Linked DNA regions of Kluyveromyces lactis. The protein of the gene in region 2 interacts with the protein of the main gene of each other region in a pairwise test. Links are inferred from orthologs where the notes say so. Each region holds a gene or a part of one and is shown on either strand. Other genes may lie near its edges.

What was found.
Region 1: the proteins of STE20 (region 2) and CDC42 interact in a two-hybrid assay, tested with the Schizosaccharomyces pombe proteins (4 studies listed by BioGRID). The link is inferred for Kluyveromyces lactis from reciprocal best matches to the Schizosaccharomyces pombe genes shk1 and cdc42.

Annotation. Positions count from the first base shown.
Region 1 is NC_006037.1:381,482-385,892, reverse strand, and holds CDC42 (Rho family GTPase CDC42), read left to right. Parts: upstream 1-3,074; coding exon 3,075-3,650; downstream 3,651-4,411. Other genes in the region: GCD6 (translation initiation factor eIF2B catalytic subunit epsilon), read left to right, coding at 408-2,618. UniProt on the Schizosaccharomyces pombe protein: Involved in development of cell polarity during the cell division cycle.
Region 2 is NC_006038.1:1,189,081-1,195,962, forward strand, and holds STE20 (mitogen-activated protein kinase kinase kinase kinase STE20), read left to right. Parts: upstream 1-2,511; coding exon 2,512-5,481; downstream 5,482-6,882. Other genes in the region: putative ubiquitin-protein ligase UFD4, read left to right, coding at 1-1,750; MIF2 (Mif2p), read right to left, coding at 5,566-6,882. UniProt on the Schizosaccharomyces pombe protein: MAP4K component of the MAPK pathway required for the mating pheromone response. Phosphorylates histone H2B to form H2BS10ph. Phosphorylates tea1. Required for skb1-dependent mitotic inhibitory function. Regulates microtubule dynamics and cell polarity.

The DNA of each region.
Region 1 (4,411 bases), on a different chromosome or scaffold from region 2:
TTTCAAAGCAACGCGATAGTCGTGGGTTCAAACCCCACCAGGGGCATCTATTTTTTTCTCATATTTCAACTATCTTTTTTTTATGGGTTACTATGATGATTCTGATTTTTACACAGAAATTCACGCAGAGCGTTGTATCTGAAATTTTTTTCTTGTCTTGGTTCTTCCTTATTTTCAAATTGAAAGTGAGAAATGACATGAAATTTGAATATTGAACAATCAATTAATTACATATTACACATGATGATGAGTTTATCGAGAAGAGAAAATCATCCAACTTTATCGCTCTGGAAACGCTTAGTCTTTTGGTTAGAACGGGGAAAAAGGTACCCTGTTTATTAATAGTATACTTGTACTCATTTAAGCTTTTTTTGTTTCCAGAGTTTCCCGTAATTTACAATCGAAAGATGAGTGGAAAGAAGACCAAATCTGGTAAAGCCAATCAGAATAAGAAACAAGAGGTTGTTCAAGATGAACGTTTACAAGCGATTGTTTTGACTGACTCGTTTGAGACTAGGTTTATGCCTTTGACTTCGGTGAAACCAAGATGTTTGTTGCCGTTGGCCAACATTCCCTTGATTGAATATACTTTGGAGTTCTTAGCTAAGGCCGGAGTCAACGAAGTTTATCTGATTTGTGCATCGCATGGTGAACAGATCCAGGAATATATCGATCAGTCCAAATGGAGTTTACCATGGGCTCCGTTTAAGGTGAATACCATCATGTCGCTAGAGTCCAGATCTGTTGGAGATGCAATGAGAGATGTCGATAACCGTGGGCTAATTACCGGTGATTTCGTACTTGTTAGTGGTGATTTGGTGACTAATATGGACTTTGAAAAGGCTTTAGATATTCATAAACAAAGGAGAAAGGCTGATAAGGATCATATTGTCACTATGTGCCTAAGTAAAGCGACTCAGTTTCATAAGACAAGGTCTCATGAACCAGCAACGTTCATTTTTGATAAGTCTAATGATAGATGTATTTACTACCAGGATATCCCATTGGCTAGCTCTAGAGAAAAAACTACCATTGATATTGATCCTGAACTTCTGGAAGGTGTTGACGAGTTTGTGTTACGCAACGATTTGATTGATTGCCATGTAGATATCTGTTCTCCTCATGTCCCTGCTATTTTCCAAGAGAATTTCGATTACCAATTCTTGAGAAGAGATTTTGTTAGAGGTGTGCTTTCTAGTGATTTGTTGAAGAAACATATCTACGGGTACATTACCGACGAATACACCACTAGAGCAGAAAGTTGGCAAACGTATGATGCTATCTCGCAAGATTTTATTGCTAGATGGTGTTACCCATTGGTTCTTAATGCCAACCTTTTAAAGGGCCAAACTTATTCATACGAAAGCCAACACATTTATAAGGAAAAAGACGTGGTATTAGCGCAGTCCTGTAAGATAAAGAAAAACACGGCCATCGGCTCAGGATCCAAGATTGGAGAAGGTACAGTCATTGAAAATAGTGTTGTTGGTAGAAATTGTAAAATTGGCTCAAACATCAGAATCAAAAACAGTTACATTTGGGACAATGTTGTCATTGATGATAACACTACAATTGAGCACTCTTTAGTTGCTTCAGATGTTAAATTAGGATCAAACGTCACCTTGAATGATGGTTCCATTATCGGATTCAATGTAGTGATTGACGATAATGTTACAATCCCAGTTGGAACCAAGATTTCAGCGGTTCCAGTACAGAGGAACACAGCTCAATTCTTAGATACAGCACATAATCTTTCTTCCAGCGATGAGGACGAAGAAGGAAGCACATTCACCAGAAATTCATCTTCTTTATCAATCAGTAATTCCGATGAAGTTGCCGATGCGAAGATTAAACTATCTAAGCAGTTGGTTGGGCCAAACGGGAGAGGCGTACTATACGAAAGTGATGATGAGGATGAAGATGAAGATGGATCGACCGAAAAGGGTATTGCGAACACATTAACGTACAGAGACGATGACATTTATTTATCGGATACTTCCATATCATCCATCACTCAAAAACATAGAAAGAGGAGAACCATGTCGATGACTAGTATCTATACTGATTACGAAGGAGAAGAAGACGAAGAAGAAGATTTCGAAAAAGAAGCCATCGCAACAGTTGAAAGAGCTATAGAGAACAACCACGATTTAGACACATCAATGCTTGAACTAAACACTTTGAGAATGAGTATGAACGTCACTTATCATGAAGTCAGGAATGCTTCTGTTATCGCTATATTCAGAAGAGTTTACCACTTTGTAGCCACACAAACACTAGGTCCAAAGGACGCTGTCACTAAAGTCTTACAACAATGGGGTCCTGTGTTTAAGAGACAAGCATTTGATAGTGATGAGTTCATTGATCTAATGAATATCATTCTGGATCGTGTGCTAGATCAGAAATTCGATAAACCAGATTTCATTCTATTCCATGTATATAATGTCTTGTATGATTTGGATATCTTAGAGGAAGATGTCATTTACAAATGGTGGGACTCTGTAAGCGGTGATTCAAAATACAGCGAAGTTACTGCTCTACTGGCCAAATGGGTGGACTGGCTAAAGACTGCAGATGAAGAATCATCTGATGAAGAAGACAGTGACGAAGACGAATAAGTCAATAACGTCATAAATGCCCTTTGAATTTTCATGGTTCCTCCGAAGTTCAAGATTGGTCAATATCAATCAATATAATGTAGCATGTAGCATTTCGAGTAAACGTGAGATAACCATATGCAAAGTAATCTATAGACAAATATACGTACGCATTTCAAGGCTAGTGTCCTCACTACCGGACTGCCAACCGCCTATGCGGTCTTCCTGTATTCTATATGGGAGAGTTTGACTGAAAATAATTCAAGTCACGTTACAACGTTACCCTAACTTCCTTATCTATTAACATATTCCCATTTCAAAATTGAAATAACAGAACAGGAGGACGAAGATATGTATGTGATGAAGGAGAGTAGTCAGACAAATTGGATGTTAGACATAGCACAGTCAGCCGGAAGTAACACCGTAAAGGCCTGCAGTGATAGTAGTATAAAAGCAAGGAAGAAAGGAATTTAAAACATGCAAACTCTTAAGTGTGTTGTTATAGGTGATGGTGCTGTCGGTAAGACGTGTCTTCTAATTTCATACACAACTAACCAGTTTCCAGCCGACTACGTTCCAACCGTTTTCGACAATTATGCTGTTACGGTGATGATTGGCGATGAGCCATACACGCTAGGTCTTTTCGATACAGCTGGTCAAGAAGATTATGATAGATTAAGACCGTTATCATACCCATCAACAGACGTGTTCTTGGTTTGTTTCAGTGTTATATCTCCTCCTTCTTTTGAGAACGTAAAAGAAAAATGGTTCCCAGAAGTACATCATCATTGTCCTGGTGTTCCATGTTTGATTGTGGGTACTCAGATAGATTTAAGAGATGATAAAGTGATTATTGAAAAACTACAGAGACAAAGGCTTCGTCCTATCACTCCAGAGCAAGGTGAAAGGTTAGCCAGAGAGCTTAGAGCCGTAAAATATGTTGAATGTTCGGCTCTTACCCAGCGTGGTTTGAAAAACGTTTTCGACGAAGCTATTGTTGCTGCTCTGGAACCTCCAGTCATTAAAAAGAGTAAAAAATGTATTATATTGTGAAAAGTGATCGGCCTTGTATTTTTTTTTTTTATTACCAGTACATGTATCAGGTAAGAAGTTTCTCACTCAAGGATGAGCGTTCTTAACAATCTTCCCGTTCACCATCAAGTCCAGTTTTATATTTATAGATGATTGTGAGATAGAGAGTGTGTTTCCAAGTTTTTGCAGGTTCAAAAGAGAAAAAAAGCTCTACCCCCCATCTCCAGAAAAAGCGTTACATTTCACTAAACCAACATCCTAAAACTACCAAAACTACTTCATAACTCTTTGACATTTCTATAGACAAACTGAAGTACCAAACGTTTGGTTCTTTGTTTGAATTCTAAACCGTCTAAAATACGAAACTGGTTCGAAGCGAAAAACTAAACACTATGGAGTATCGCTTTGTTTAAGTATAAAACCTCAACGAAATTACTCTTCGTGTGTGGATTTCATTATCTCATGATATATTTAACCTCTCAGGCTTCTAATTGACTTTTAGCTCAATAGTTTATATAAATATAAAAACATTTTCCATTTAACATATTGCTTTAATTATACTATTTGGTCTTGCAAAGTACTTTACACATCCAAAAATACAGAACTTCGGAACGTCTTATAAAATCATATTTAAACCATCAACCATATTTTAAATAACATTTAGATTCCATGCAATATTTTGGATGATGAAATGGATGTTACTTCGCATTAACCTGGGTTACCTGTAAGATAGAACTGTCTTATAACAAAACAATAAAAATCTCGGTTTTAATGGCATACGA
Region 2 (6,882 bases):
GACTTCTATCATTCCGAGCATGAGTCGTGCTAATCAACAAGCCAACCCTACAAATGTTGCCAAAGAACTTGAAAACATACAATTTGACTTTTCGTTGAATGACCATCTTTTAGATCAATCGTCAACTATTTACTCTATTATATTCAAAGAGGCGATGAAAGAAGGGTTACCCACAACGAGTATCTGGACTAACGTACCTACTTTTAAGTTCAAGAAATCAGTAAAAAGAAGGGAGTCACATCAATTGCATGTGCTTTACCCCGATACAGCTTTTGAAGGGGCGGATTTGAAGCCTGTCAATGGTATTTTGACAGTTCTACAATGTTGCCAACATAAATCACTCCCAGCATCTATTTATGTGAATCCAAAGATTAGTGCTAAGCTTTCCCGTCAACTTGAAGAGCCACTTATTGTGGCATGTGGGGTCTTACCAAGTTGGGTCCTCGATATCACGAGAAAATATGGATTTTTGTTTCCATTTGAAACTAGAATGAACTTCTTACAGAATACATCATATGGATATGGCAGATTGATCCAATACTGGAGGGAAAAGCTGGCAGATCAGCACCATAGTAACCCTACTGAAAATCCATTGCATCAATTAGGCAGGTTGACTAGACACAAGTTGAGGGTTTCAAGAGACTCACTATTTTTGTCCGGCATCAAAATTCTAAAAAAGTATGGTTCTTCGCCAAACGTATTGGAGATCGAATACAAAGATGAAGAAGGTACAGGGTTAGGACCCACTCTCGAATTTTACTCTTTGATGTCGAAAGAATTTGCAAGGAAGTCTCTAAAAATGTGGAAGACCAATAGTGATACCAGTGATGATGAGGAGGAGTATGTGACAGGTGCATTGTTCCCTGGACCATTATTGGGCACCACCGAGGAGAATAACGAAAAGACTTTGAAATTATTCGAAAACTTGGGGACCTTAGTCGCTAGGTCAATGTTAGATAATAGGATTCTCGATTTTAGATTTAACGCTGTTTTCTTCGAGTTGATGCACAAATGCTGCAAGAATGATCGACTTGACCTAGAAGACTTCGAAACTTGTATCCACCTCGTAGGACAGTTTGATGTTCAACTAGGAAAATCACTCGCATTTTTGTATGATAATCGTCATGATGACTCTATCAAAAACCTTGACCTATATTTCATGCTGCCTGGTTATGATATAGAATTGTTGGAAGGTGGTTCGAAAATCTTAGTTGAATCTTTCAACGTGGAAGAGTACTTGATTCGTGTCTTTGACCAATTTTTGGGCAAAGGCGTAGATATGCAGCTCGCTGCCTTCAGGAACGGATTTTCGAAATCATTCCCTTATTCATCATTGCTAATCTTAACTCCGACAGAACTATCCGATTTGTTTGGTGCAGTTGCTGAAGATTGGTCTGTGCAAACGCTATACTCATCCATTCATGCAGACCATGGCTACTCGATGGATTCTCCAATCATAACAGACCTCATAGATATTTTGTCGAATTTTTCGACACAACAGAAACGTTTGTTCTTACAATTCATCACTGGCTCTCCGAAACTACCTCTTGGCGGTTTCAAAAACTTAAAACCCAAATTCACAGTAGTCCTGAAGCACCCAGATGGGAACATCTCGGCAGACCATTGCCTACCTAGCGTTATGACATGCGCCAATTACTTGAAACTACCAAAATACTCTGATAAACTGGTACTCAAAGATCGTATTGCACAAGCAATGACTGAAGGTTCCGGAGCCTTCCTATTGTCATAGAATATGTATATAACTACATAGAGATGTCTGTAGATCTAACCATACTCCACCCTAACTAAAGATTTCAATACCACATACTTTCGTGACATGTGACAGGATTTACTCTTTGGGATTGGCGAAAATGTTGAAACTGAAATTTAAAGCTTAAGAGTTTAAACAAACGGAATGTAAAGATCAGATGGTATGCATGTTTATAAGCAGATTAGAGAAACGAGCAAGCTCAATTGTTGCTTTAACTGTGGCTTGTGTTAGAACTAGGTTTTAAATTTTATTAATCAGGCTATCTCTGCCGATTTGACAAGTATTTCAGAGAGTAATACCAGGTAATACCATCTTCTTTTGGATCTTTTTAATAACAAGCACACATTATTTGTTTGTTTTGGCGAGAGTGTGATTTTAGCAATCAAAAGACGTTCGTTACACTGAATTACACAACAGGCTCTCGTTTTTAAGTTAGAAGGAGGTGAAGGTAGAAAGAATTTTACAGAGCACGTTTTGTCATTTCTTTCATTGTTTATCTGACTTGATCTTCTATTCTTTGAACAAAGTAATCTAGCTTTTTTTCTGACAGAAATTAACACGGCCACAGCAGGCTTTGTTACTGACGGTTGTATGCTCTAGAAATCATTACAGACCTGTTTGTGTTTTTCGGAATACCTTTCCTTTTTGTTCGGTCGATAGAATTAACCACAAGACATCTTTTGACACAGGCCTTTTTTTTTTGATAGAAGCTACTACACTCACTACTTTGTCTCCATATAATGACGGATACTGGATATACTGAAGAATTGTTACCAGGCACATTTGATGCGCTTTCCGTGAGAGAAAATGGTGGCAATACAGAAAGTGACACCAGTAGCATACGCAAAAGTCAAAATCAAGATTCAAAACAAGAGGATGTACATCGTGAAAATCTTTCAGTACAAACTCTAGAGGATCATACAGAAGTAACGGAGACTAGGGAACAATCTGTCTCAAAAGATCTCTTTGATTTACCTCGTGCACCAGCGAGTTTGGATGTGAAAGGATTACAAGAATCAGACGAAGATCATTACGTCAAAGACCTTTCAGATTATAAATCTATGGATCCAGGGAAACCGGGCACCGTACCAACAAATGTTTCGGAAATTTTTAATAGTAACCAGCCAACTTTGGATGAACCGATACAATTTACAAGAGTCTCTTCCAGTTCTGTGTTAAGTGAAAGTATATCGGAAGGTGATGCAGATTTAATATCGCATCTAGAAGGAAAAGTGGAAGAAGGAAATAATTTGACTTCGAAGGAGACGCCAGGGACAATTGAATCTATTGTTGGAGATAAGACGATGTCAACTATAGAAGGTTCCTCCCAAAATATAGGTAGAATATCTACTGGCGGGAGGATGACACCTGATCTCTCTCTTATGGGCGGGGCCCTGGAAACTTCTTCTGACTTCCTAAATTCCACACAAACCTCAAATTCTCCAAAGATTACAACACCTATAACTGAAGTTGATGCCAATGATGTATATGAGTCCCCGCTAAATGAGATATTATCATCTACAGATAGTTTCAACAAGGCATCGACAGCGTCTGCAGATCATTCGAAACACGTAAGTGTGCATGAAGTAATACCTGAAGAAGAACCACATCCAGAAACAACAAATGAGGATCCTCCAATTAAAACTCCCGTAATGGTGAATAACTTTTTCGAAAATCAAACACCAGTATCAGAATCAAGATCCCCCTTCAGAACCATTTCTTCTCCGTTTTCTTCTCTGAGGAAAAACGTTAAGAGTCAGCATGGGACGCCTGACCACTCCCAGAGGAATTCTAATTCCTCCACCTCCTCTAATGATGTTAAGAGGAAGACCGGTACTAAGAAGAAAGGTGTTTTCTCAACATTCGTTCAAAACATCAAGAGGAACTCACACTCAGAGAAAAGAATTTCTAGCGGAAGCGGTAATGGAAGTGGAAATAATGCATTTAAGATCTCTACTCCTTATAATGCTAAGCATGTTTATCATGTAGGTGTTGACTCCAAAACAGGGGAATATACAGGGTTACCAAATGAATGGGAGAAACTTTTAACTTCCAGTGGCATTAGTATGAAAGAACAACAGCAACATCCCCAGGCTGTGATGGATATTGTAAAATTCTACCAAGATGTTACTGAAAACTCTGGAGAAGAGAAAGTCTTCAAGACTTTCAAAGTAGGAGGTGGCTCTGGTGCAAACATTGCATCTACACCTTCTTTCAGAACCCCATCAACTGCATCAGTACAGAAGTTCGAAACTCCGCAAATGCAAACAGATGCAACTTTTCCGAATGAAAACAATGATACCCCATACTCTAGTAACTTACAGGGTCCGCTGCTCACTAACGATTTCAGTGAAACTGTGAACAACGAAAAGTTCATACCGACTCGGCCTGCTCCAAAACCTCAAGGTTCCTCCACAGTTAGCCGTAGGGTCGAAATCCCTTCACCAATCAATTCGCTTGGCCATGGAACACCAAAAGTGCAAAGAAGTGATACTCAGTCATCAAGCATTTTCTCATTCAAGAAGATGCCAACATTGAAAAGTGAGCAACCATTACCTCCTATTCCAAAGGCTGCAGAAAAACCAGCAAATTTATTGCCTGCAAGAGCGGCTCCTACTCCACCAAAACCTGCAATTCCTACAACACCGGAACAATCCTCAATACCTGCAATTCCTTCCGGGCTTGCTGTGGAAGTGAAAGAGGAATCGAATACTTCTAATGTCCAGACAAGAAAGGCCCAGGAAAAAAAGAGGGAAGAGAGGAAAAGAAAGAATCAACAAATTCAATCAAAATTAACCGAGATTTGCACAACAGGAGACCCAAGCAAACTGTACAAGAATCTGATCAAAATCGGACAAGGTGCATCAGGAGGAGTTTACACAGCGTATGAATTGGGCACAAATGCTTCAGTAGCAATAAAACAGATGAATTTGGAGAAACAACCCAAGAAAGAGTTAATTGTGAATGAAATTCTGGTCATGAAAGGAAGCAAACACAACAACATTGTTAATTTCATTGATTCATACCTATTTAGAGGTGATTTATGGGTTGTCATGGAATACATGGAAGGTGGTTCGTTGACTGATGTCGTTACGCACTGTATATTGACTGAAGGGCAAATCGGTGCCGTCTCTAGAGAAACACTCAAGGGTTTACAGTTTTTGCATTCAAAGGGAGTCATTCATAGAGATATTAAATCAGACAATATTTTGCTATCCATGAACGGAGACATCAAACTAACAGATTTCGGTTTTTGTGCTCAGATTAACGAGGTAAATTTGAAGAGAACGACGATGGTTGGTACTCCGTACTGGATGGCCCCAGAAGTCGTATCAAGAAAAGAATATGGACCAAAGGTTGATATTTGGTCTCTTGGTATTATGATCATTGAAATGATAGAAGGTGAACCACCATATCTGAATGAGACACCACTAAGAGCTCTATATTTGATCGCTACCAATGGTACGCCAAAGCTAAAGGATCCTGGAAATTTAAGTCATAAAATGGCTATGTTCTTAAATTGGTGTTTAATGGTTGATCCAGAGGACAGAGGAACCGCAGCAGATCTTCTTGAAGATCCATTTATCACTGAAATTGCGGAAGAGAACACCTCCCTTGCACCGTTGGTTAAACTGGCAAGGATGAAGAAACTAGCAGAAAGTATGGAAGATGATGAAAACGATGAAGACAAATACGATGAACAATCATAATCATTTCTGTTTTACGGCATTACATGAATTTAAAACTTTATTTTTTCTATATAGAATAGTTGTGTTATTAATATTTCATTCACATTAGGTAGATGTGAGACTCATATCGCTCGAAGATTTATTAGAAGACATCTCCGAATCTTCAAAAATGTCATCTGCACCATTAAAATCTTCAGGGACGGTTGTTTGAACGAAGAAAAGTTGCGCTTCTGTCATTCCTTTATTGAGAAAACCGTAAGTGTTGAACGCCGGTACTTGAAAAGAAGAACCCGTTGTACACACAAACTTGTTATCACCCACAGATATTTCAACAACACCTTTAACAACGAAAAAATTGATAAAAGCGTTATGTGAATCACTAGGGGTCTTTTCTCCATCGAGCGGAAGCTTAAGCATACCGCTGGCAAACCTTTCTTTGTGTTTATCGAATAAAATCGATAAAGTAAATTTATCCTGGTTTGTGCTTGTAACCTGTTCAGTTTGTGCTAACCCAGGAGCAAAAGCCAATATATTCTGTTCTTTCTTCTCATCAGCTGTAACATTGACCTTTGATTGAAGAATACCTTGTTTCAGCCATTCAGCATTTGGATAAGTTCCTTGCTGAATATCTTGAATAATTGGAGCGTTTGGATCGGTAATGTTCTGATCATCCACAGGCTTAATTTTCCGTGGTCGACCTCTAGGTTTACCGGACGGAATGTAGTTATACGGTCTTGTCTTGGTTTTCATTACCTGCTTTTTAGCACGTTTACTTTTCAGTAGTTGCTCCTCTTCTTCATCCTGATCATGATCATACGTGATAATTTTTTCAATCTCAAGGACAGGCTTCTCTGATTTTCTCTTGTACACGATCTTTTCATTTCTCCAGTACTCAAGCGGTGCAACTTTGACTCTATTCGATCTACGAATTCCGCCTTCCGTACTTGGACTTTCGTCTTTCAATAAATCTTTAGCTTGTGTCTGAATGTAATCTTCGTCGGAATCATACACGTCAGATGCAGATTCAATATCTCTTTTCTGTTTTCGTACGTCGCTCAATACAGCATCATCTTCTTCTGAATCGTAATCTGAGCTATCTTCTGAGCTATCCGAGCTAGCATCACGAAATCCTGATATTCCTTCCACGTAATCTCTATCTTCTTCCTCTTCACTCCCAGGCTGGAAATCATCGTCGAGTTCGTCTTCTAACAACGCGTTTTCTGATGTATTAAAAGATTCATCTCTGGTAGTGTCTGCATCGTTTATAAGATCGGGAACGTCTCTATAATCATCCAGTTCTCGCCTTACCGGAGTGAGCTGGACAGAAATATCCTCATCTTCTTCATTCTCGTCGGCTTCCGGTAACTGTCTCATAAATCGCCTTTCTCTCCTCGTAGGCTTTGGTGGAGTCCTGTAAGAATC